Linked DNA regions of Neodiprion lecontei. The protein of the gene in region 2 purifies or fractionates together with the protein of the main gene of each other region. This does not show direct contact. Links are inferred from orthologs where the notes say so. Each region holds a gene or a part of one and is shown on either strand. Other genes may lie near its edges. The genes, in order: putative transferase CAF17 homolog, mitochondrial; iron-sulfur cluster assembly 2 homolog, mitochondrial.

Region 1 (12,509 bases), on a different chromosome or scaffold from region 2:
AATAACAATCATATCGTTAATTCAATCTGTATGCGTGATCGTGGCAACCAAGGTTTTTCAGTCAGATTAAAGTTCAATGTTAAATGACCATAAATAAGTTAAGGACCTTCACAGGCAAGTGAATTAATACAGTATCGTCGTATGCAACACACGTACACCCAACGTTCTTACGTCCTTGCCGTTTTTGCCTAATTATTACTCGACTCCGGTGAGGGCTGAACTTGAATGTCCGCGCATCAAATTACTCTCAAACTCTGCATGGAGAGTCGGATGTCATGTCTGGATTGAATTACGCTTCTCGGAGTAACATTTTACTCGCTCACACACACTCTCTCTCTCTCTCTTTCCGTGCTAATTCGCGCTCCTGATTTTACGTGAAATTTCGCGGTAAAGAGGTGCGTGGATACGAACAGAGAGAATAAAAGAAATATTCCGATAAAGCGAGGCACTTGCGCCGTCCAAACCTTATTTATCGAACTATTCATTTTTTTGCGATAATGAGATATGACATGCCTTGATTACGTAAAGTAATAATCATGCTACGTTAAAACATTTCTGAACAGAAAGAATTCAAAATAATTTCCGGTGGCTAAAAAATAGCCGCAATAACGGCCACGTTCAAAAATGTGTACCGGGGCAAAAAAAAAAAAAAAAATAGTAGGGTATTGTCTAAAAAAGCAAAATGAAGGTAAATTTGTTATCTTTAAAACGCCACTTGGAACGTTTGATTATCTTTATTTTTGAGTCCGTTATCTAATTTTCAGTGCAGCAAGAATTTCGACAAAACTATTGGCCGGTAGTGTATATAAGGGAACGATAATGATGAAATCTTGAACAGGGTTTGTTCCTATTACTATAAGCAACAACTCTGCCAAGTTTCAAATCGGTCCCTTAATTTATACCAAACTCATACAAAACGAAATAACTTGGTATAAAAACTACATGTATTCTACATTTAAAAGTTACGGAGCTTAGAAGTACATGTTTAAGTTGACGTAGGAACTTGAAATTTTGCACAGATTTTTCACAGATCTGAGCGACGTCGCAATGAAATTTTTTTTTAATTTATAAAAATTACATATATAAGATATCCCTTCCCTGTGGTCTGCAACTATAACTCACCGTCATACACATAGTAACATTGGTAACGGTTTTAAGATCACGAAATGATTCCAGTTCGAATAATTACGTATTATACTACATGCTTGCAGTTGATTACAGTATGCAGTATAAGGTCTACAATTTATTGAGAGATAAGCGACTACACTGGCATTGGCACTTGATAGCAGCAATTTTCTGTCATCTGCCTTGCACGTGTCAACCCGTCATTTCTGTGTAGTGGTTGAACGTGTTGTAATTTTTTCGTACGTTAAGAGACATGACACGGAGCGTAACAGCTAGTTATACCTTGATTGGAAATGTGATGAAATTTGAACGTACCGGAGTTAAGTAATATCACCCGTGTACTTCCCAGGGCGAAAGTAGAATACGCACACATCAAAGAATTTGAAGAGCAAGGGATAATTGGGAGTGGTTGGGGAAACAAGTTAAATCGCCTTCGATAACTAACTTGTTGAATTAGCTTGCGTACCGCCCGCTCTCGTAACTTTTCGCAAAACGACGCCACCACCTGCTTGACTTACATGCAACAGCCGATGTAAAGCCCGCCTTACCTGCACACTTGTTGAACGGCAGGCAGTCGCGCTGGAGCTTCTCAATTTTTTGCACGACCGTTGTCCTTGACTTGTGACGTAGGTACCGCCGACGTTTCGACTAGGTAACACGTGACTGGATACCGATGATGACGACGACGATGACTGTGTCAATCTGATTTTCTTGTCCCGATTATTATCACCTCACGGTGATTTTTGAATCGATAACTTTTCTTCGATTTTCTTTTCGTTTTTACAATTCTATTTCCCCTCTACCTATCGTTTGCGTTGTCATGGGTAAGTGTTCGTCGGTGTACGTGATTCGCGTTGCTGCCGATATACTCGCGGTGACCAGACCGTCAGGGTTCTTTTAATATGTATAAGAGAGAGAAAAAAATCGAAGCAGCGTACAGGAAAGTTGATACAAGCCAAACATAAATAAATAATGAACAATAAACTGACGAATTTGGCACACCGTCTGTCCGAGCCTCGTTACGTGTTCGAATAGAAATTATAGTTTTGTATAATAAGGCGGAACATCGATGAACCGATTCTTGGGCTGAGAAGCGCGACGCTCAACTCGGGAGTAATGAAACCAGCACTGACAATGAGAAATCTTGAGAAGTTCAGAATCGCCGCACCTCGCGGGAACTCCTCGAACTAATTTCACCTTGATTTCATTGAAGTTATCCAGACTGTAATCCGTGATTTACGGTGGTGGCGCCACCATCCGCATATTGGCCGTTGGCTGGAACTGACCACGCGGTAGTAGCGATGGCGTGACCGTGTAGTTTATATCGCTGTGTTCGCAAAAAAAAAAAAAAAAATGTCCACAGGAAAACGTATGAAATCCGTCAGTGTTGCGGAATGGAACCGTGCGGAAAATCTTCACGGTGGCTGCCTCAGAGCGGTGAATTTGAATTTGACTGCGGAACGTATGTTTTTTTTTTTTTAATATACCAATGATGAAAACGAGCGAATTCTATAGACTTATTATTCACTTTATAGAATATATTTTTTTAGACTACAGTATTGAAATCTGCCTTCAATGGAACAAAATACCAGTATTTATTTAAAGCGAATTTCAATGAAAATTCATAACTCGATTGCCAACAATATAGCTATTGAAGATATTGCAGGCATTGTGCAAGTATGCAGTTATGGTTGAAGTTTAACTCCACAAACTTAGGGTAACACATTAGGATTTACGGAACTGAAACTAGTAATGCGAATCGCGAATAGATATAAAAAAAAAAAAATTTCTACAAGGTTAAAAAATAAAACTATTATTGATTATAAATAAAACATTTGTCAGTTTCTGTACGACCGTATAAATCGAATATTGTAACAGAATGATGTTGTGGTTTTGAGGAGTAAAAAATTATCAACAAAGTCTTTGGGCAAAACGTACATAATGGTTTGAAAAGTATTGAATATACAGATATTTCGTTACACGATTCATTTGCACCAACTTACCAGGAGTTTAAACGACCGGCTGGTTTACCACCTCTGCCTAGGTTTGGCCAGACAGCATTGGATGGGCCCAAAAAAAATATAGACACCATGTATACTGTAATTACTGATACGTTGCACACTCCGTTTGGTAGCAGTGCTCGAAAGAAAGAAGTTTTAAGACTAAAACGACTTCGGTAAAAAAAAAAAAATTATTGATTACTATCAGCAGCAGCTTTCGAAAAACAACAAAGAGCGAACGTTGTCTTACTTTAGAAAAGTCACGAACGGAAAAATTATGAAAATAAAAGCTCTGCTGGGATTAGACAATGATAGAAATAGACCCTGATTATAAATGAGGCATTTTTCAGTGTGTGTACGCCGGTATAAATAAAATATTGTACTTGAAATCCACAAACACTCTTTTGCTATATGTAGTTTCGCTAGCTAACTAGTATTTCTTCCTAAACTATCTACCGTTTTATCAGGTCTTTACCAAAATATGGCAGGCTTCAGGTGTAAAGGAAAGCCACTGGATTCAGGAATTTGGCAGAGTCCAGAATTATAAGAGCTACTGCGAAAGCAGACGCTAGAAAACAACGGCGATCCTTTGCTGTCCTTCTCTTTTGTCTTCACTTCTTGCCACTGCGTACTCTGACTATTACAACTCTTATGCCTCTAGATGTGGCATATTCGAATGGTCAAGACATTCTGTAATGAACTGCCGTTTACGCTCACAGGATGTAGCTGTCACGGTAAAAGAATCCGATATAGAACGAATAGGGAAAAAATCAGACTTTGCTTTTCACATTTATATTCAAGTAACGGTCTTCTTGAAATTCAATGAATATGACTCATTTTCCGGCTAGCCGAATCACGAATGTATCACTCGTCGCGTAGGATTTGATCTCATATTTGAATTTTAGGGAACATAGTTTTCTCCCAATACTTGAATCGTTTTATTATCTTATCAGTCGTCAATGTGTGTTGTACATTTACATGATAGTAATGAAAATAAATTAAAGATTGTCATCGATCAGTTAACATCCTTCTTTTTCAAGGCTTTTATTTTGGCATGTAACTGAACGGGCAAACTGGACATTTTTTGTTGGGCGCAAGCCTGGCAGAATCTTTTGATAAAAAATAAACTACAGCCTAGACAAACTGGTTTTGTACAAACTCCACAGTCAGAACCTAGCACTAGGATTTCCCCCCTGTTGGGTAGGCTAAATGGATCCTTCATAATGTAGCATTCTTCCAAGTAAGTCATAGTCCTTGCAAACGGTGGCTTAGAGCCCTTGTAATCGTAACGTTCCGCTAATCCGCAAAAGCTACACTCAAACGTTTTGCCACGATCTTTTTCTATCTTCGTACTTTCCGGCTCCATGTTTACTCGCTTATGAGTTTCAGAAAACTCGGAATATTCCGCAGATGTGGTAGCTACTGACTCCATCCTAGAAATCAATTATTCATTTGGTTAATAAATAGATTTATTTGTCAGAAGACAATTTTTTCTATAACAATAACGAGATAAAGAATAAATAAGAGGATGTATAACAAGAACACAAAGAATGAACCTAAATCTATCGTATCAGTCTTTGCAGCCGGCATCGCTTATACAAAATAATCTCTCATCTATATTACTAATTGATTTTAAAAAATAGTAATATTGTCTATACAATATTATCCATTGGAGGCCCTTCTACCCTCATTTTCAATCGCTCTTTCCGATCGATGCACTTTCTTTGGGAGCTTCCTGCGGCCACCAGACAGGTTTTAAAGCCTTTCCCTTGAGTCCAGATATTCTGAGAGACTGAGCAGTTAGTGCTTCGGCGATACGGACAAGTCCAAGTCCATTCTCATTGACATGTCCCCTCAATTTACCAATTGATTTCTCACTCTCATCTGTAATGCTCTCGTCGTACTCTATGGGCTCAGGAGGGGAACTTTCAAGGGTAATGGGCATCAGTCGTTTTCTGACCACCCCTGTGTGGTATGTCCTTGCCGTCAATTCCTGGCCAATGTAGCAGCCCTTGTGAAAACTGACGCCGTGTAAATAATCGCAGTTTGATTCCAGAGGTAGCGCCTTGCCAGGCGGCAGGTCGTCGCAGCCCTCGCCAATTCCCAGCTTGTAAATGAGGGATCTGTAGCCAGTAGACACCTCCTTACTCTCCACGGTGTCTGGATCGACGCGAGCGACGATGTCTCCGGTTTGTGTCCCAAGGTCGGATAAAATGCGGAAACCAAGACCCGAGAACCTTGGATCTGGGTATATCCTGATGTTTTCTATGACTTTGCTCGAACTGGTATCAACGATATCAACCAGGGAATCACATGGGAATATCTGTCCTTCGAGCTTAATTTTCTTCGTTATGTTCGCGCCAGCGTTCCACGACTCAATCGATGCTTTGTCAGGATCGAATAATGCCCAGACCTTCATCTCGTTGCTCAGATCATCAATGTCTATCTTTCGCCTCACTCTGTAGAGCTTGAGGTGTTTTTGTACGGACATCAAAGCCCGACTGTCACACTCCAGCAGATAGACTCCGATCTCATGCGTTCGGTAGAGTATCGCGTCAAACATCACTCTGCCCTTCGTATTTAGGAACATTGTGTACATGCTCGCTTTCCCCTCGTCCAAGTGCCTCATGTCGTTAGTTATCAGACCTTGCAAAAACGAGGACGATTCTGTGCCAGAAACTCTGAGGAGGCTCCTCTTGCTCAGGTGTTCTATCACTTTGCTAGTTGGATTCGTCGAGTTGCTTCTCGTCATGTTGGCGGCTAGTCGAAGTCGCGATGGCCTCAGTTTAAACATATTTCTATTACGAATTGGCTTTTTACTATCTTTTCTTATCAAATTTCGAACCCTCCCGACTTGATTCCGGCGAATGTGATGAGAAGTAGAGGTTAAGTTAGGTTAGGAATTTTTGGATTTTCGTGCGGATAGAATGCAAGTATATCAACGATACGTGAAATCAGCTTACGTTATATTGTGTTTCATTCGCGCGGATAGTTTTCAATAATTTTACAAACAATTTACGGTCTCACTAGAAATGGGCGGGGGTGGATGGGGGACTCGCATTTAGAGGTTATAATATCCACTGCGTTGGTCGGATCGTCACATCGGGAATTCGCAATTTAGGTAATCGATAATCTGCCGATTGTCAGCTGCCCAGAGAGTGATGTCGCTGATCTCGTAGCGCCCTCTGACACAAAATAGGTATTTGGAACTAAGTTTCGAGATGGCTAGTCGACGAATCGACTGATAATTATTCTGCCGTAGATGATAGCACGGAAGCAGTGGATAATGGCGTAGAGTTACTGCCGTATTTGTGACTAAAATTGGCCAGTCAGTTAAAAATTAGTCGATGCATTGATTAGGTACATCGTATTTTTTTTGTAACGGTCCACACGAAACCAAAATTTCGTAAATTTCAGCCTGTAGTCTTAATAGTTGAAAAGTTTTGTTGCATAATTTATAGTTTCGTCTAAAATATTTTTCAATTTTAGGTGAATATCTTCATTTGTCTTTTACTTATTATAACAAATAGGTACTTAGTAAGTAAGACAATGATGACGATTGATATTCTAATCACATGAATACGCATAAATTGATATTGTATTACGTCGCTCATGGAAGTCAAGAAACAAAAACCGAATGTGAGGAAAAATAATCGCGTCCATCGATCAAACGATTAAAAAAAAAAAAAGAAATGTATTATACTTGATTAATCCGGAAAAAATAATCGATTCAAACGAAAATCGATTGTTATTGATAATTCTTAGTCGTGACAGGGTCAGCGAATTTCTTCCTGGAGATCGATACAGTGATCATTTATTTCGTTATCTCGTATTACCAGGTAACGAATTTTATTGCATCATTCGGCATTACTGATTGTTTTGAAATTTTTAGTAAATGTAAACCGTCGATTGTTGTTTAATTCTCATACATATTAAGTTTCTAAATAAGTATATGGTAAATTTTGAATGCTGTTTAAATCGATTTGAAAAGTTACCTCGCTAGAAAATTTTTTTTTACCCGATCACAGAAACAAATTGTAACTACGTTGATCGGCGTTTGTGATTATTTGAATTGAAAGACTCTGTGAATGAATCTGGGAAGAAATCATTCGCTAGCGAAACTGATGAATTGATTACAGAAAATCAACCGGTGTAAAACGGATCCGAATGATTTCCCACTTGATTATGTAATCAGTAACGTTTTGCGAGACTCGACGCAATAAGTAACGCTCTAAAATTGCATGTACTTAAACACTCAGTATATGGATGTTGAACACGAAATATTAACAAAATGTTGTGGTCTTTTACCTGATTACAGAATTAAGCCGCAGCTGAACTGATTGAGGTTAGCGAATATCTGAATGTTACTTTAATAATATTCGTTGGTCAACCAAATTCCGAAGCTGAACAGTTCATAATGCTGTGGCAGGATAAAACACAGGTATACACATGAAATTATTCTTGATTATACTAACACGCTACTTTTGTCATCAGAAATTTGTCTTTCAGTTGAATTTTTTTGTTATTCGATCCTTGATTATATTTTGTAAAAACTATCCTAAATTTTCAATGGTTCATGTGTCGGTTTGGAAAATGGAATACTGATAACATGTTGTTATCTCTTACCCAGTTATAGGGTCAGTACTATCGACTGCATTTATAATAGTTATGCTATGAAAGAAATAACCCGACTCAATCGACCTCTGAGAACGAAGTGAAAACTTGACCAACCACTACAGTGAATAAACGTGGAAGGTACGTAACTGATATGATTTTTAATTGCGTTGTCGCTTTTGGCCGTAAACGATTTTAGAATCTCGACTGATGTTGAATGCTGATCACTGATTTTATACTTTCCTCACTGATCGTACGCACTCTTATTCGATACTAACTTGTGCTCATTTTGATAGCCTTGTTACATAATTCATTTCTATAATTTATTTATTATTAAATCAAAAACCACGGCAATATCATGGAAAAATAATTTATTTGCTTCCAACAATGGGCTGATGATGAGTGAACAGGAGGCGAGCCATTAAATTCATTCTACAATCGAAGAGGATGGGTGATCTGAGGTGAATAGTCATAAAAATTTGAAAACGGACCTATTTTTATTGGTCAAGTATTGACGAATTGTAGTTTTTCGTGATACAATTTTTGCTTCTCACGTACATGAAACTAAAAATAATGATTCGGTATTGTATGAGGGGTATGGAGCCGTGATAAATTCGTATTTCCCTATCTTATTCCGAGTGCATCCCGCTAAATACATGTATCGATGTTTCACAATAGCAAATGATGAGACTTAATATTACGAAGGCACACAGTGTGAGAAAAGCGCAATTCGTTTGGTAGATACGGTTGAAACTACACATTTTTCACCATTTTACTTGAAACGTGGAGTTTGTTGACTCAAAGGTAAGCTTTCATTTACCGCGATCACGATTAATAATACACGTACAAAAGTATCATACACGGGACACGTAACAGCGATAATAGGAAAAACATTACATCTATTCTACTTCGTTATCTATCAGGTCCATATGATTAAATGATATAGGTATCTACGTTACATTCGCTCATTGGTAAACAGCTCAACAGTTATTGTTGGTGTGGTCTCGTCTCGCAGAAATGAAAGTTGCGGTGAACTTTCATGAAAATCTGACCGAGGAACCGTTTTGGTGATCTGAGCGACAGCCTGAGATGAGAGCCAAGTTCGGAAATGTGCCTGAATAACCAGTACTGCTGGTGTTGCACAGGAACGGTGGACTTCTTGCCGATTCTATGAACTATTTTGTCTATAAGTTCGGGCGAGGGTTGTCGCAGGTCGTATGCCCATCCGATCTGGGCAAACGCGTCAATAAACATCGTTGCCGCGTTGAAGTTTATGTAGGGCAACTCGGAGGCCTTGTAGTCCCAAGGGAACGTGTGGTGATAATTGTGCGATCCTTCGCCACCCGTCAGCACCGAAACCAACATATTTTCAGCCGGGTTTATCAGTCTGGGTACAAAATGATAAAAAATCACAATTATACTTGCAATTAAACTCAACGTAAAGTAGAAAGACAGAAAAAAAAACCGTTCATACCGACCTGTTGTAAGGTCGATCGCCCCAAAGATGTGCGAAACTGTTTATGCTCCAGAGGCAGTGTGCGCCCAGGACGTAGCGTATGAAAACCTGAGTCAGCACAGCATGCATTACAGTTTCACCCCAATATATTACCGGGATTATCGTCGGTAATGTGAAGCAGAATATGATGTTTAGAATGGTACCGTATCTGAATTAAAAATTAGGAAATAGTACATTATGCGACCAAGGAATAAAGTCAAAGATTATTCCCGTAAATTTGTTTACTGGTAACACTACTGTAAAAAAAATAGAAAGGCGCTATTTTGATTAATTTTTTTTTTACGGAAGAAACGCTAATAAGATAATAATATTTAAGGATGTCATTAGGCATACATTTAAGTATAATACAGAAGATTGTTATCAAAAAATATTTAAAAATGGCGATACTGGAGCCATTCTCGCGGTACATGTTGAATTCTGCAAATGGCGGAAATTTGAATTAGGAAAAAAAATAGAAAAAAGGATTTTTTTTCTGGATTCTCGCGGGCAAAAAAAAAAAAAAAAAAATGCGCGTGTTTCAGGTTTTTACATTGACGTTACCCCTCAAGACGGAATAACGTGCTACTTTCGTCCCGCTTTTTAGGTAAAAAAAAGTCAACATTATATGGCTGAGTCGGGAATAAATAAGTTCTCACTTCTTGCCAATTATAATCGTAATGCGAAAAATCGAAATTAGACGGAAAAGTGGGCGTCGTACTTTCTCTGGAACATGGCGACTCTGTCGTTCCTTACGTCGGTCATGTCGACCTCTCTCCCTCGGCGCAGACACTCCGGGTGACGATGGACGCAGAGCCAGCCCATGTGGGAGAACCAGAAGCCCCGCTTAGCGTTGTGGGGATCTGCGTCCGTCTCAACGTACTTGTGGTGGACCCTGTGGTCCCTTGCCCAGTCGTAGATCGTGTACTGTGAAGTTCGTTAATGCGCGGATTTTGAAAAACGAACTATTGTTCGATGGAAAATTTTTAACGAGCTTTTATTTTGCTCTCTCTCAAATTTCTCGGTACTTTGATCAGGGGTACGCTTACCAATCCGAGAACGGAGTAGAGGAACATCAGCAGTATTCGCAACGGGAGATTTGCCTTGTACGAGCGGTGAGACCAGAGCCGATGTGCTCCTGCCGTTGTTCCAACGAATGCTCCACAACCGACGATGAATACTGCGGCATTAACGAAATAAAATAGCCATTGTTGCAGAAGTTGTGAGAAATCATTAGTTTTCAAGGGAATTATTGGTTGATGTTAGATTCCGAGTTGAGAAACTTGTCTGATTCCAATTGATAGAGTTCCGAACCTTCGAAAAGTCTGCTTATTCAAATGTCAAGTACATTTTTCCGTTACAGTCAGTCCTACGAAAAGTTCAAATTTCTGAAATAAAATTCAATCGTCTGGTGCTAGGGCATTAGCTTAATATGTATATAAAATTATGACGCGCTGTAAACGCGAGAAAATTTGTTGTTACGAAGGTGATCGTACAAAATAGTCATAATTTGATGCATCGTAAATCATTCGAACTTATGAGAGATATTTAGTTCGATAGAAAATATGAATTTTCTCTTGTGCAAGCAAATCTTCTTTCAGACGTCCACCTTAGGTGATCGGCTATAATTGGAGGTGTAACACAAATCAACCATCGAAACCTAAGGTTGTAAAAAATGCTTTTCATTGAAGATTATGACACGTATTTAACGTTCATCGCAGTGTTCTCGAATAGTGAAATCAACGGATTATACTGACGAGGTTGCAGTTCGTAGCATTATTAAAGCGATGCATTTTCGGCAGAACGGATTATTTTGCAACATTAGCATTGTCTGAGATTAAGCAAAACATAGTAAAGTCAGCTCATATTTTGCAAAATAAACTCATTGAAAAATGTTCCGAACATGATGTGAGATTACAATTTTTCTCACCGCGTTTCGGTACGTTGACGTTACGAATTTCAACCTCATTTAAATTGTTCGTAAAAAGTTTTTATTTAATATAAATTTAGCAATCAACGAAGGGACCGCCTTGAATGCCGACTTTACGTATTAGATTCAGGAATATCAGCTTGAAGCACTTCAATAAATTAGGCTAGATTTCGTATAACTCACTCCAAGCAACGGTCATCGGTTTAATGGGTATCGAATGTAGTCCGAAGGCGTACATCGTCAGGGATCCTACCAATCCAACGTTGAGTATTACCATGGGAATAAACTGACTCCATTTGATATTATTCCAAATGTAATTCCACGTCCAGTGTTCGGCAATTTTCTCTCTGTATGCCTCCTCGCATAGTTTCTCGACCGTTGTTTCATCACGTGCAGCTGCACCAGCGTCCGCGAGTGTGACGGACATCTCGAAAACTGCGGTATATTAAAACGGGATACCGCCTCTCGGAGCACCTGAGACCGTCGAAACTATTCAACTAGCCAAAATCACTGCTATCACTGGAACAGTGATGAAGAGCCGACTCGTATTTATAATTGGCAAAGGTAGGCTAAGATTCTGTCGTGGGAGAGAACCAGTGGTCAAATTAAATATAGCTACCTCCAAAATTCGAGTCGAGTTGTGTCTGTATTTCAGATTTCGGAGCTATAATGAAAACATAATATGCACATACATTTCGGTAGATCTTTATGCTATGAGATAATCCTTGATCGATACGTGACGGATTATGCCGATCATTCGTATCGAAATGTCGATGTTGTAAGGTATGATATTAGTGATGGATCTGTCCAACAGATAACGAAGTCGTAGACTTGAATACGGTTGTACGCCGAGGTTGTAGGGTTTGGACAGTTCCTTGAGTAGACATATTTACATCTTGTGGGTATTTTAATCTACGAATTCTTAATTTCCAGATAAACGTTCACTCAAATAGTGGATCGACAAGTTTACGTAACGACAGATTCTGTTTATTATCCTATCGTTTTCGTAATTCTTGGCTTCAAAAATAATTCTCGCGCCCAATCAACCCGTACTGATTGTACTTCAGTACAGTTTTATAACGATTACACAGGGTAAATTTGACAGGAGTCAACTTTGAGCGATTACTGAAGCAGGATGATGCGTTATATTGCCGTGAAATAATTTAGAGACGTAATTTGAATATTGAAAAATATGCTCTCAGTGATTAATTGTAAAATTTTGATTTGATAGTCTGAAGAAAAATTTTTTCGACAAAACACGGATCTTCACTTAGAAATTCATAACTTCTTCAATTTTTCATATTTCTTGGCGAAATTTCAAGACGGTACTTGTGCGGCATCGCACATT
Region 2 (11,703 bases):
GACCCTAAACTGTTTCAAATATGTATTCTACTAAAAACTATTTGTAATTTCAGACTGAAATAATGAATATACACTTGGAAACGAGCGAGTCTAAAAGGCAACGGTGTGAGGAGGCATTGCAAGAATTGCAGGCAAGTCTTGCCGCAATGCGCGAGGATCACGAAGTACAAGAGGGAAATTACAAAGCTCAACTTAGCACTATAAGTGAGCACCTTGCCAACATGAATGATAAATTGATTCAGCAAACAGAGGAAATACAGCAGCTCAAATTTGAGTTGGGGAATAAGGTGAGCCGAGTCAGGAACCGCGATTTTTACCCATCAATAGATCATTGATATTTTTTTTTTTCCAGAATGCGAAAAAAGGGAAGCAAAAATAAATTTGCTGGCATTAAGCTGGAGCCTATGTCACATTCCATGGATATGCCTGTTAATCTGTGTGATTATCACAATACATAGTGTAAAACATAATCTCGTGTAAATAATACAATGATGTCCACTACGTTCATTTGTAGAATTTAGTCAACGTTAAATATTCAGTTTCATTTTACCTAACGCGGTATAACCGCCGTCACATGTTTATGAGATTGAAAATATAACGTAAGTAAAGGAAATGAATACATGTATAATTTAAAGCCTTTCTTGATCAGTTGTTTTGCTTTTTCAACTCGTTGAAACGAATTTTATTATAAATTATCAACAACCTATGTGCAATGTTTTCGTAACGCCTTATCTGTCGCTAATCATTAATACATGACATAATTTCATGTAATATACTTATAAATATACACGTACGTGTATATATTCCTATGTACATACACGTACATTTTACTTATAACATCAACTACCACTTAAAAACTACAAAATAAATTAACGATTTCTTTGCAATCATTGCGAGTCTGTAAAAATATATGGACCATTTTCAAAACCGATAATTAGAATCGAGGAGACGATCTGCTAAAAATTATGATTATTTGTATCGGGTCAGTCTACTTTAATAGCGAAACTGGCACCGCAGCTACACCCTTGTTCAGCTAGAGGATTGTTTGTTATTCTAAACGCCGAACGAATTAGTTCCTTGTGATATTCAACAGTCGATCCCTTGACGTACTCCAGCGAAGTTGTGTCTATGATCACTTTGACTCCGTCTTTTTGAAAAACTCTGAAAGAAGTAATTTAGTTGTTAATAAAACATGAAAGCCACTTTTGTAACGATGCACAAGCTTACCTGTCATCTTCGTTTATCGTTGAGTCAAGATCGAATTTATACTGAAATCCTGAGCATCCCCCTCCTTCTACAGTAACCCTCAGGCACGCCTCTTCAGCGCTGGTTGCCAATTCTTTCAAGCGTTGAGCACAGCTGTCGCTGACTATTAGGCCGGTATCTTGTGGAGCTGGCGATGTATTTGTGGCAGATGTCCAACGTGCCGAAGCCCAGATACCACCGCGCCATGGCGACCTAAAAATTGACAATACTTCAATAGATATCGTCGCAGACGAAACGTCAAGAAGCGTCATAATAGTCTAAATGAATAGCGAGGAAATCTGATAAGATTGTTTTACACGAATCAACCCCACTTTATTGACAGTTAAATGTAAATATTGATCTCGACAATGTCGGTTGCCTCATGACAAGGTTTAGAGGGTGCGTATATGACTTTTGTTTGGATACGATGACCGACCGGACGTCGACGTTGCCACATGAAAATACATATAAATTATTGAAACATAATCCCGTGGTTCTGGGATCGAACGATAAATAGCAAATAATCTACGTCGCTGGTTTCCTGTTTCATATTTCCGTAATCGTGTGATAATTGCGTTACTCACGTGAGAAGTAGTCGCGAAAAATACTGGTTCGAGGAGAAATTGGAGGAGAGATCCCTCACCGCCTGCCCCAATTTCGCCATACTTTAATGACTTAATGTCCACCTGACGGCTGACGTTTTCTTTTCTTTTTAATGACTATCGGGTTCTATTCCCAACTGATGTCGCAGAAGTACACTTTATCGTTACGTTACCGACATGTATTCGTCGTCGAAAATTAGTTCCAGAAGCCTGGTCGAAGGGCCGCGGCGTTACTCTAGTCTTGCTAGTTTTGTCCATAAGCGGCAGTGCAGGCAAGTAAGATTGGCGTTCCGATGAAGATATCAGAAAAACTTTTGTCAGAATTTTTTTTTTTGCATCCGAAAGGAAAAACGTAGCGGATCGAGTGGACGTGTTAAGATCGCAAAAAAGAAAAAGGAGATCGGGTAGGAGAATTAGAGATTTTATTCTTTACAGAACAGTTGTGCCAGAATGGCTGGACGTGGTCTGATTGTGAACAAAAACAGTACTCAACATGTGTCCGTACTGGATCAAAAGTTTTCTGACCAACTGCTTTCGTATAACTGAAATGTTACATTTATTAGATCACATTAGTGAGACCTTTGACGGATAATTTATTCGAATTGTTTTCCATTTCGAACGGGATCTATTCGACTTCTCTAATTGTTAGATCAGCGACAGCGGACCGACGTGCCATGTGGGCCATGTGACCTGTAGACGAAATTGATTCTCTCATTTCGTTACAACTCCTATGGACAGACAGAAGCCGTTTTGTATTTCCCACATTTTAATAAGATTTTGCATTAAAAACGAATAGCCACTTCGCGATAATAATGTTCGACTGTATTATCTGGGCACACGCGGTGAGCGACGGTAACGTCAGTTCTTCTCGCCTCTACGTACCGACTGATATGCACCTGCAGGGGAAGATGAAGAGGGCGCGACTTGGCAACGAATTAATCTCGCCCATTTTCGATTACGAAAGGTCCCGTAACACTAGCAGTCCTTGCACGCGAGCGGCCATTGAACGGCTTACTTCAGGAGTGTGTGTAAACTCTATGTCGATTCCACGGTTTCAGATCCTTCTACTTCATGCTGGTAGAGATTCCGCGAATGGTGCCGCGGCGACGACGCGACGGACGAACCGATCGAGCGACGGAGCGCGACGTCTGTGCTGACGGAGCGAAGGGAGCGACGAAGGAAGGACGGAAGGTGGCTTCGCAGGAGGGTGAAAGGGAGGCAAGGGAGGGAGCGAACGAACGAACGAGCAACGCTAGATATTCCCGTATTCCCCGTTCCGCCGCGTATATCTTGGCCGTGTTAAAGGGGCCCTTGGATGTGCCTTGGATAGTCGTGCGGATCGAGCCCTGGGTCTCGAGTTTTTTTCCCTCTCGTTAACTGCATCGGAGTCGGTGAATTTTTACGGAAAATCGACCTTGATGGCTGTCAGGGTATCGCGGCGGGTCTGTAACTCGTCAATGTCGTTTAACCCCGACTTTTTTATTAAAGTGTCTCGTTCGACACTGCTATGCTACGCTAGTTGTTAAGTATTATGTGCAACCGTCGGGAGGAGGGAGAACCAGTGTTGATTGTTGAGCAACGGTGACCAGAATAAAGAGAAAAAAAGATAAAGAAGCTAGAAGGAACGAAGAAAAAGTCGCAAAGAGGGAGTCCGCTTTTTTTAAAACTGGAACTAACAACCTCTGTTTTCTCGACCCAACAACTACACACTGTTACTGTCGACCGCACCAACACTCATACCACCAACGGTGAAGGTGAACGCTCAACGTTAGACGAGGAAAAAAAAAGACTACGATAAAAAGAAAAATAATAACAATAATAACAATAATAATAATAAAACGAAGAAGAAGAAAAAGAGGAAGAGGAACCAATCAGTCACAAAATAAACACGAATCACCGCGTTATCAAAAGTAGTGAAAAATTTTGATTCCTATTTTTCTCCCGTTTCACCCCCTCTCGTAAATTGTCCCACATCTTTGCATCCCTAGGGATTCTCTCGGTATTGGAATTCGAGTATAAATCCGAGAGTAAGTAAAGAGAAAAGAAGAATCACCCACCCTAAAGCAGACTGTCAAAAACACCTGAGGTTTCATCGTCAGTCGTTGAGACGGTCAAGCGTATACAATAAAGTGGCAGGGAGACAGGTAAAATGTTCACTGGCACGGTTAAGGTAAAAATATGCGAAGCATCTGGCCTGAGGGCAACGGATAAGCAGAGAAAATTCTGGCAAGATGAACCGCCAATTCTGGATCCCTATGTCCTTCTGGACGTCGACGAGAATCAGCTCGACCGCTCTTCGACCAAACCAAAGACCTTCGATCCTGTGTGGAACGAATCGTTCACGCACCATGTCCTGGATGCGGGGACGCTCGGGCTGACCGTTTTCCACGACGCAGCTCTGCCGCCCGATGATTTTGTGGCCAATTGCAGCATCAGATTCGAAGATCTGGTTCACCGAGAAGACGATGCAGCTGATTTCTGGGTTCGTGGTATTCAGCTATATTGTCCTTTTCCTAATCGTAGCACTATTGAAAGAATTCTCAGCTTTGGCGTTATTAAATGCAACGATACAATATTTCGATGAAACGTTTATTGTGAATATGCAGCATGCTGAGATTTTGTTGTCGCATAGGTGTGATATTCTTAGTAATGTTTCTTTTATACGGTTGATAGCGGTTTAGATAAGAAGAGTTATGCGCAAATATACTTTGTCCTTTCGTAAGCGAGTCAGAGATTGCTAGCAGTTCGCGTTCGCACCTTGGTTAATTCATATCGAAAACGAGAAGTATCTCTCATTAAGGAGAGAATTCGAATCCAAATCTTATGGCTGATATTTGTATGTGCAAATTTTATTTAGAGTATTGTGTGTTGGGCAAATTCTCTGTTTGCAAGATTTGTTTGGATTTTCTGTAAAATAAGAGTGTTGAAAAAAAAATTGACGGTTGGATACTCTACTTAATTTTCCTCTTTAATAAGAAAATGTTTCAAACACACAGAAATTATGGTTTTGAAAAGTGTTTTCAAAGGCTGATTCACATTCGTGCCGAGACCCTGAAAAAGGCGGCTATACTTTACCCCAGCGAAACGGTATTTATTAATCATCGTTGTTGTACATTAAAAAAATTTAACGTTATTGAGATTTCGTTCACTGATTTAAAGTGGAATTACCAAGATTTTCATCGCTCACCGTATTTATTCCGTCGACGGGTGTTAAATCCCTACCAGGGAGATAGCACAGAAACAGAAAATCATCCGTAGCTCTTCGTCTTTAACATATTTGCTGTTTTCATCGAGAAACGAGGGCAGACTGCACCTATATGACTGTTAGTGCTTACAACGCTCTGCTGCGTAGACTAGATATAAATTAAAGCCTTGATGGCTTACTGAGGCCACAAGTATGCATATGTGTATCATAGATAAGAGGCGAATACTTATCTTTGTCTTGAATGGTTTTGATTATTCGGTCAAAAAATTTATTATCTGCTCGGTAAAATCAAATTTTTCCCACTGCAAATGTTCATGAGATCAAAGTTAATAACGCTAGCTTAATGAAATATTTGTGTGTGGGGAGGGGGACATCTATTCTGCAATTTTGTAGTGACTCTGAAATGGCCAAGTTTCCAAAATATGAATCTCTTTTGCCTTATAATTTATTCCATTTCATATATTCCTAAAATTAGGAAATAACAAGTTTTCCGAAATTTGAATCATTGAAATAACAATACCAATTCCAGTCATTTATTTAGCATCATGAATTTTCTCACAGGAAATTTTCTACAAAGCTTCTTGAACTCTGAGCTGTTAGTCATTCTTAGAAAATTCATTTTGCAATTGTCTTTGTGTTCAATGCATCTTTGAACATTATTCCGTAAAAACATAATCAATTGTATCAAATTTTTCCTCACTTTCCACTCAAACTGCAAGGTTTTTGCAACATAGACAAGTGTTGAGGATTCTGGAGAATTTGTTACTATACCGTGTCGTCCATAATTGTGCAATTAAGATTCCTTATTCAAGGCTTTCATGCCTCAACATGTGGACATTGCCATGGGGAATATTTTAGATTATTGTAGCTACCGTCATGTAAGTATCCTTTGGTCTGTCACATTTCATTGCAAACACAAAGGAAGAAAGATTTGGCTGATTTTTATTACAATCAGAATCATTCGCAACAAACATCTGAATCAGCAAGCAATTGCCCTTAAAGGTAGGATTTTAATTCTATTTTTCAGAAAGGTCGTCTTAATTTAACGTTCGTGTATAAACATCCCTGTACCTCCTCCTCGAATTCCGCTATAAAATAAATGAACCGGCACTCGCAATGGTAACATCTTTGAATTTTGCTAGTCGCTTTTACTCCGCAGGGATTACCTGCAAATATTGTACCTAATTGGTAATACTTTGTGTTTTCATTGTTAATAAATAAGCGATGTTGCGTAACTTTTACGCAGACTGAACTAATAGTCTTCATTCGTTCCAGGTCGACCTTGAGCCGCAAGGAAAACTGAGGATACAAATAGACCTGAAATGGACGAATCAAGGTCAGTGTCGGCACATGTTTCCATTGAATAATTTGCCTGGAATAATTTATAATAAACATGCAAAGAGAATTAAATTCTTTACTGAGCAGACTAGAACAAGTACAATACGTACAATGAAAGGTACAAAGAATAGCATAGATCGTCTTTAGATCTATTTCTAAAGGAGCAAAGATGGAAGAATTTCAACTTGTAAAACAGAGTGAAATTGTAATGCTTTCATGCAAAAACAGAGCAACAACAACCTGGCTGCGGAAGCGGTGGGTTGGGCGGAGGGTCCGGAGACACAGGCGGCGGAAGCGGAGTAGGCGCAGCGATAGGAGGAAAAGAGCCGAGACGAGAGTTTAAAGAGCGACAAGGTTTCAATCGCAGAAGAGGGGCGATGCGAAGAAGGGTGCATCAAGTCAACGGGCATAAATTCATGGCGACTTTCCTGAGGCAGCCTACATTCTGCTCCCATTGTGGCGACTTTATATGGTACGTACTTCGATCAATGTATCCTGTTGTTTTTTATTCTTAATTTTTTTTTCCCCCTGTGTTTGTACTGTACTAAAAATCGTATCAAACCGAGGACAAAACTCTCACCTATATCCAACATCCGCTCGTCTTTGGATTTTTGATTCACAATCGAATACTCGATACTTGGTTAAAAAATACGTGTCTGGATACGGCGAATCCAATTTTCAAAACATGCAACAGTAATTGCAGCAAGAGTTCGGATGTTTGGACTGATATTTTTTTTAGACATAGAATGGGTAATTTTAGTGTTTAATTGGGCAATTTGTGGGAATACTTTGTATGTGCTCGTGTAGGTCTCGGCATAAATACTTCTCCCGATGTCTGCTTTATTTAAGGAAATGCGACACAGTTTACTGTGGGTGAAAAACAACGGAAGGGAAACATTTCCGCTGTATGAGTGCCGAGTCCGTGTCCCGGGTGTGGTGGTCTTTCTATTACAAAAATAATAATATTTATATATCATTACAATCCTCTCAATCATCAAACACAAATCTGCATGCATTTGGTTCTTCTTTTTGTGATTAAACTGTGGGAGGAGTAATTGAAACTGCGTGGACATTGGTGGAATTGGGGTTGCACGCTTTGGTATTTCACACAAGCTGACGTTACGCATTTCTACTGCCAAATCTTAGGATCAATCCAGTTGCACTTTGCTTCAAACAATTTGAAACCTAGTCTGTTCGTTTCGTAAATGCTAACGTCTAGGATACGTGGTCCATTTCTTATCATCCAAAGTGACGCGTAATGTCAGGTTGCCTTTTAATCTCTTGGCTTAGGGTAAACGATAGAAACAGTAGAGGTAACTTCTGGGTAGCAACGTCAGAGGAGGGATACGCGTATGTGTTATTAGGGATTTTGAGGAGACGATGTGACGTGTTTTGTCTGTTGTATTTCAGGGGCTTCGGCAAGCAAGGGTATCAATGTCAAGGTGAGGAAGACACAAAATCACGTTATTAACCGATAGTAATAATTAATTGCCTGCTTGCGGAATCCCATGTGCGTATTAATATTTTTTGCTGTACCAAGTTGCTCCTATATACGTACGCTCCCATTTCCTATGTCCCAGAGACACCAATGATCCAAAGATATTTCCCATTCGTCGATCGCTTTCTGCTTGAGTAGGTGTTATTTTGTTTATTTGCTTATTTTATATTATTTTTATTTCATTCCGATTATACTCAGTCAGGGTTCAGACCTACATGCACTTGCGTCTTGCCAAAGTACGAGTGAAAATATTTTACGGATCATTTAACCATGTTTGTGCCCCTATGTCTCTTCTTCTACCTGTATTCTTCTTATCATGTATTATATGTCTATGTCATGTTGGATGACTTTAGCGCATGTCCGTTTTACTTTTTCCGTTGTACAATTTATTTGTTTGATTATGACATTTGTTTGTGCGTTTTTCAATCTACAAGGTGGGATAGCAGAGGTTGTTAAGCTCCTACTTGCGTTATTTTATTCTCACACCTGCTCTTCGCAAAACTCTCTATTGTAACGTACAATTAACATAATTTTATTTTATGTTTTCTTCGCCCTGCACGATTTAACACAAATTTTCACAGTGTTTTATGTCACAGAAATGAAATGAGCGATTGCAGTTCAAACGGCGCATGTTTATCGGAGCTTACTTAACGTACTGTTTTTCGAATAGCCTCTTTCACACATTTTCAAAGAACGAGAGAAAAAACGAAAATAACAATTGCTGTAGAATATATGTGTATAAAAAGTTTTCCCTACGTTTGTTACAGTCTGCACATGTGTCGTTCACAAAAGATGTCACGAGTCCGTCGTCACTGTTTGTCCAGGCATGAGAGACGAAGTAAGTGTTGAACGAACCAAGTTCCTGGAACAGAAACTGAATTTTTCTCAAGTTGGTAACTGTATTATCGAAATTATCTCAGGGGGGTGAGAAACTTCCTTACACCGCTAGGGAGACGATGTCTATTTTTTTTTGTTTCGTTTTTTATTTTAATTCAAACTATCTGCCCGTTTAGGGAAACGTTCATATTTTACAGACAACCCAGAGTACCCAGAGCCAAAGATTCAGTGTCAATGTTCCCCATCGCTTTGTCGTACACAGTTTCAAACGGTTCACATTCTGCGAACATTGCGGGTCTCTTCTGTACGGTCTTATAAAGCAAGGCCTACAATGCAAAGGTAAATCTTTTCCATTCAATCATTACCAATGCGTTAATCTGTTGTTGGATTTTGCGACGTTTCGTTAAGTCAGCAACTTCCAAACTCGGGTCAAATGTCGATACAGTTTTGTCTTACTTTCGGTAATTATTTTCAGTCTGCCATATGAGCGTGCACAAGAGATGTCAAAAGAATGTTGCAAACAATTGTGGTATCAACAGAAGGCATTTGGCTGATCTCTTGAACGAAATGGGAATTTCGCCGGACAATAAGAACAAACCAGCCAGGATCAACTACCAGTCATCGAGCCAATCTGGTGGCTCTGGGTCGTCGGCTCCCCCGAACGAAACGTTCTCCGAAGGGGTGCCAGCCTCGAAATTGAAAGAACCGACCGACAGCGGAAGCGGCCCAGATACCGGCTACAGGAAGCTCGGGCTCGAAGATTTTCATTTCATCAAAGTCCTTGGCAAAGGAAGCTTCGGCAAGGTAATGCTTGCCGAAAGAAAAGGGTCACCGGACGAAGTTTACGCCGTCAAAGTACTCAAGAAGGATGTCATCATTCAGGACGACGACGTCGACTGTACCATGACAGAGAAACGCATACTAGCTCTGGCAGCCAAGCATCCGTTTCTCACCGCCATACACAGCTGCTTTCAGACCAAAGATAGGCTCTTTTTCGTTATGGAATATGTCAATGGAGGTGGGTGGTCTTGTCTTTTGCGAATTGGTTAAAAGAAAAACTTGATACGAACACCCCAAGAATGAAAGGTTGAGTTTTCACTAGATCTCCATCAAATTGGCGACACACCGGGAAGACCGGGAATAGTCGGGGAATTTCGTCTATCGGGAAAAAGTCGGGAAATTATGGTGAACCACAGAAAAAACTTGCTTTTTTTAAAATTGTTTTCAAACTTCATCTGTGCTTCGTAAATTCGGTTAAGCTAACTTTCAGAAATGGTATCGTTAAATTTCTAATTATTTGTGTAAAATAAACGTTAAGATCCAACTTTATATATTCAAGGCGCATAACTTCTAGAGCTTTTGGTCATAAAAGCTTCGTGGGAAAACGTCTGGAAATTCTGAATTTTTTGACGAGACAAGTTAGGTAATTTTATTTAGCAAAATTGTCGCAGCCCTGGTATTGTCGAGTTATTTAAAAAACAACGTAAAAATAAAAAAAGATTGGACTGGTTAACGTTTTCTAAGTTCGAAACGCATTCAAGCGAGAAGTTCTTAGTCTGGCTTATCAAGGTTGAGCAAATTAATAATTTATTTAAAATCGAAACGTACGTTCTGACAGTGAACTTTTAATGATCGACAGGTGATCTGATGTTCCAAATTCAAAGAGCTCGCAAGTTTGACGAGGCTCGTGCACGTTTTTACGCTGCCGAAGTTACGCTGGCATTACAATTTCTTCACAAGCACGGTGTGATATACCGGGATTTGAAATTGGACAATATATTGTTGGACCAAGAGGGGCATTGCAAACTCGCCGACTTCGGTATGTGTAAAGAGGGCATAATCGAAGGTGTCAAAACCACGACGACGTTCTGCGGCACCCCCGATTACATCGCGCCCGAGATACTTCAGGAACTGCAGTACGGCGCGAGTGTCGATTGGTGGGCGCTCGGCGTTCTTATGTACGAAATGATGGCCGGTCAGCCACCGTTCGAAGCTGAAAACGAGGACGATTTATTCGAGTCAATATTGAGAGACGACGTCCTTTATCCGGTATGGCTGACCAAGGAAGCTGTTGCCATTCTGAAGGGATTTATGACCAAGAATCCCGCCAAAAGATTGGGATGCGTTGCAGCTAACGGAGGCGAGAATGCCATACGACTTCATCCATTTTTCCGAGACATGGACTGGGAGGCGCTCGAGGCTCGCAGACTGAAGCCTCCTTTTAAACCGAAAATTGTAAGGATAATACTGATATACGGTGCAATTATTGCTCTGCTTGCATTTTATTATTATTCACACATTTGTTGCTTGTTTTATTTTTTTTTGATTTTATTTATTTATTTTTTTTTTTTGCATTACAGAAAAACAAAAAGGATGCAATGAACTTTGATGCCGAGTTCACGAAAGAAGAACCGGTCTTGACACCGGTGAATCCTGAAGATTTACGCTGCATAAATCAGGAAGAATTCAAGGGATTCTCATTCGTTAACACAGACTACAATCCCGCAAGACTTGCGGGCGAATAAACGCAGTTGATAAAAATCACTTGGATGTTACGATCAAGTAAGTTTTTTTTTTTTTTTTTTTTTCCTACCCTCTTCGTTGTTTTCAAGATATGTGTAATGTTTCATTGGTCGGACTGTACGAGAGGGTAACTGTTCGGTATGGGTTCAAATTAATTCAATCTAATTTCAATGAAAACGGAAGAAAAGCGTAAGCCGTGAATCGGAGTGAAAATTGGAATTTAAACAAGTAACAAAACGTATACCGCGATGGAACCTGGTGAGGTCTGATTTTTCATCTAATCTGTATACAATATAGCAAAAGAAAAGAAAAAAAAAAACGAAAGGAAGGTCAGATGATTTACGAGAAAATAAGCATATCGCAAATGTTTATATGTGACAGAGATGAAAGTATAACGAACGGTCAGGCTGCTTGTAGCTGATCGTAGAAAAGAGAGAGAGAGAGAGAGAGGGAGA

Evidence for each region.
Region 1: the proteins of iron-sulfur cluster assembly 2 homolog, mitochondrial (region 2) and putative transferase CAF17 homolog, mitochondrial purify together in Homo sapiens (co-immunoprecipitation; 4 studies listed by BioGRID and IntAct, with this or other methods). This does not show direct contact. The link is inferred for Neodiprion lecontei from reciprocal best matches to the Homo sapiens genes ISCA2 and IBA57.

Annotation. Positions count from the first base shown.
Region 1 is NC_060263.1:378,929-391,437, forward strand, and holds putative transferase CAF17 homolog, mitochondrial, read right to left. Parts: upstream 6,365-12,509; 5' UTR 5,920-6,364; coding exon 4,819-5,919; 3' UTR 4,784-4,818; exon of another isoform or gene 4,682-4,783; intron 4,559-4,681; 3' UTR 4,417-4,558; downstream 1-4,416. Other genes in the region: acyl-CoA Delta(11) desaturase-like, read right to left, coding at 8,727-9,126, 9,218-9,403, 9,953-10,158, 10,281-10,411, 11,345-11,588. UniProt on the Homo sapiens protein: Mitochondrial protein involved in the maturation of mitochondrial [4Fe-4S]-proteins in the late stage of the iron-sulfur cluster assembly pathway. Operates in cooperation with ISCA2 in the maturation of [4Fe-4S] proteins.
Region 2 is NC_060266.1:331,559-343,261, forward strand, and holds iron-sulfur cluster assembly 2 homolog, mitochondrial, read right to left. Parts: upstream 1,985-11,703; 5' UTR 1,910-1,984; coding exon 1,830-1,909; intron 1,459-1,829; coding exon 1,228-1,458; intron 1,162-1,227; coding exon 984-1,161; 3' UTR 675-983; downstream 1-674. Other genes in the region: paramyosin, read left to right, coding at 54-287, 328-480; protein kinase C, read left to right, coding at 3,997-4,329, 6,328-6,388, 6,619-6,862, 7,801-7,832, 8,656-8,777, 8,902-9,064, 9,201-9,743, 10,365-10,960 and 1 more. UniProt on the Homo sapiens protein: Involved in the maturation of mitochondrial 4Fe-4S proteins functioning late in the iron-sulfur cluster assembly pathway. May be involved in the binding of an intermediate of Fe/S cluster assembly.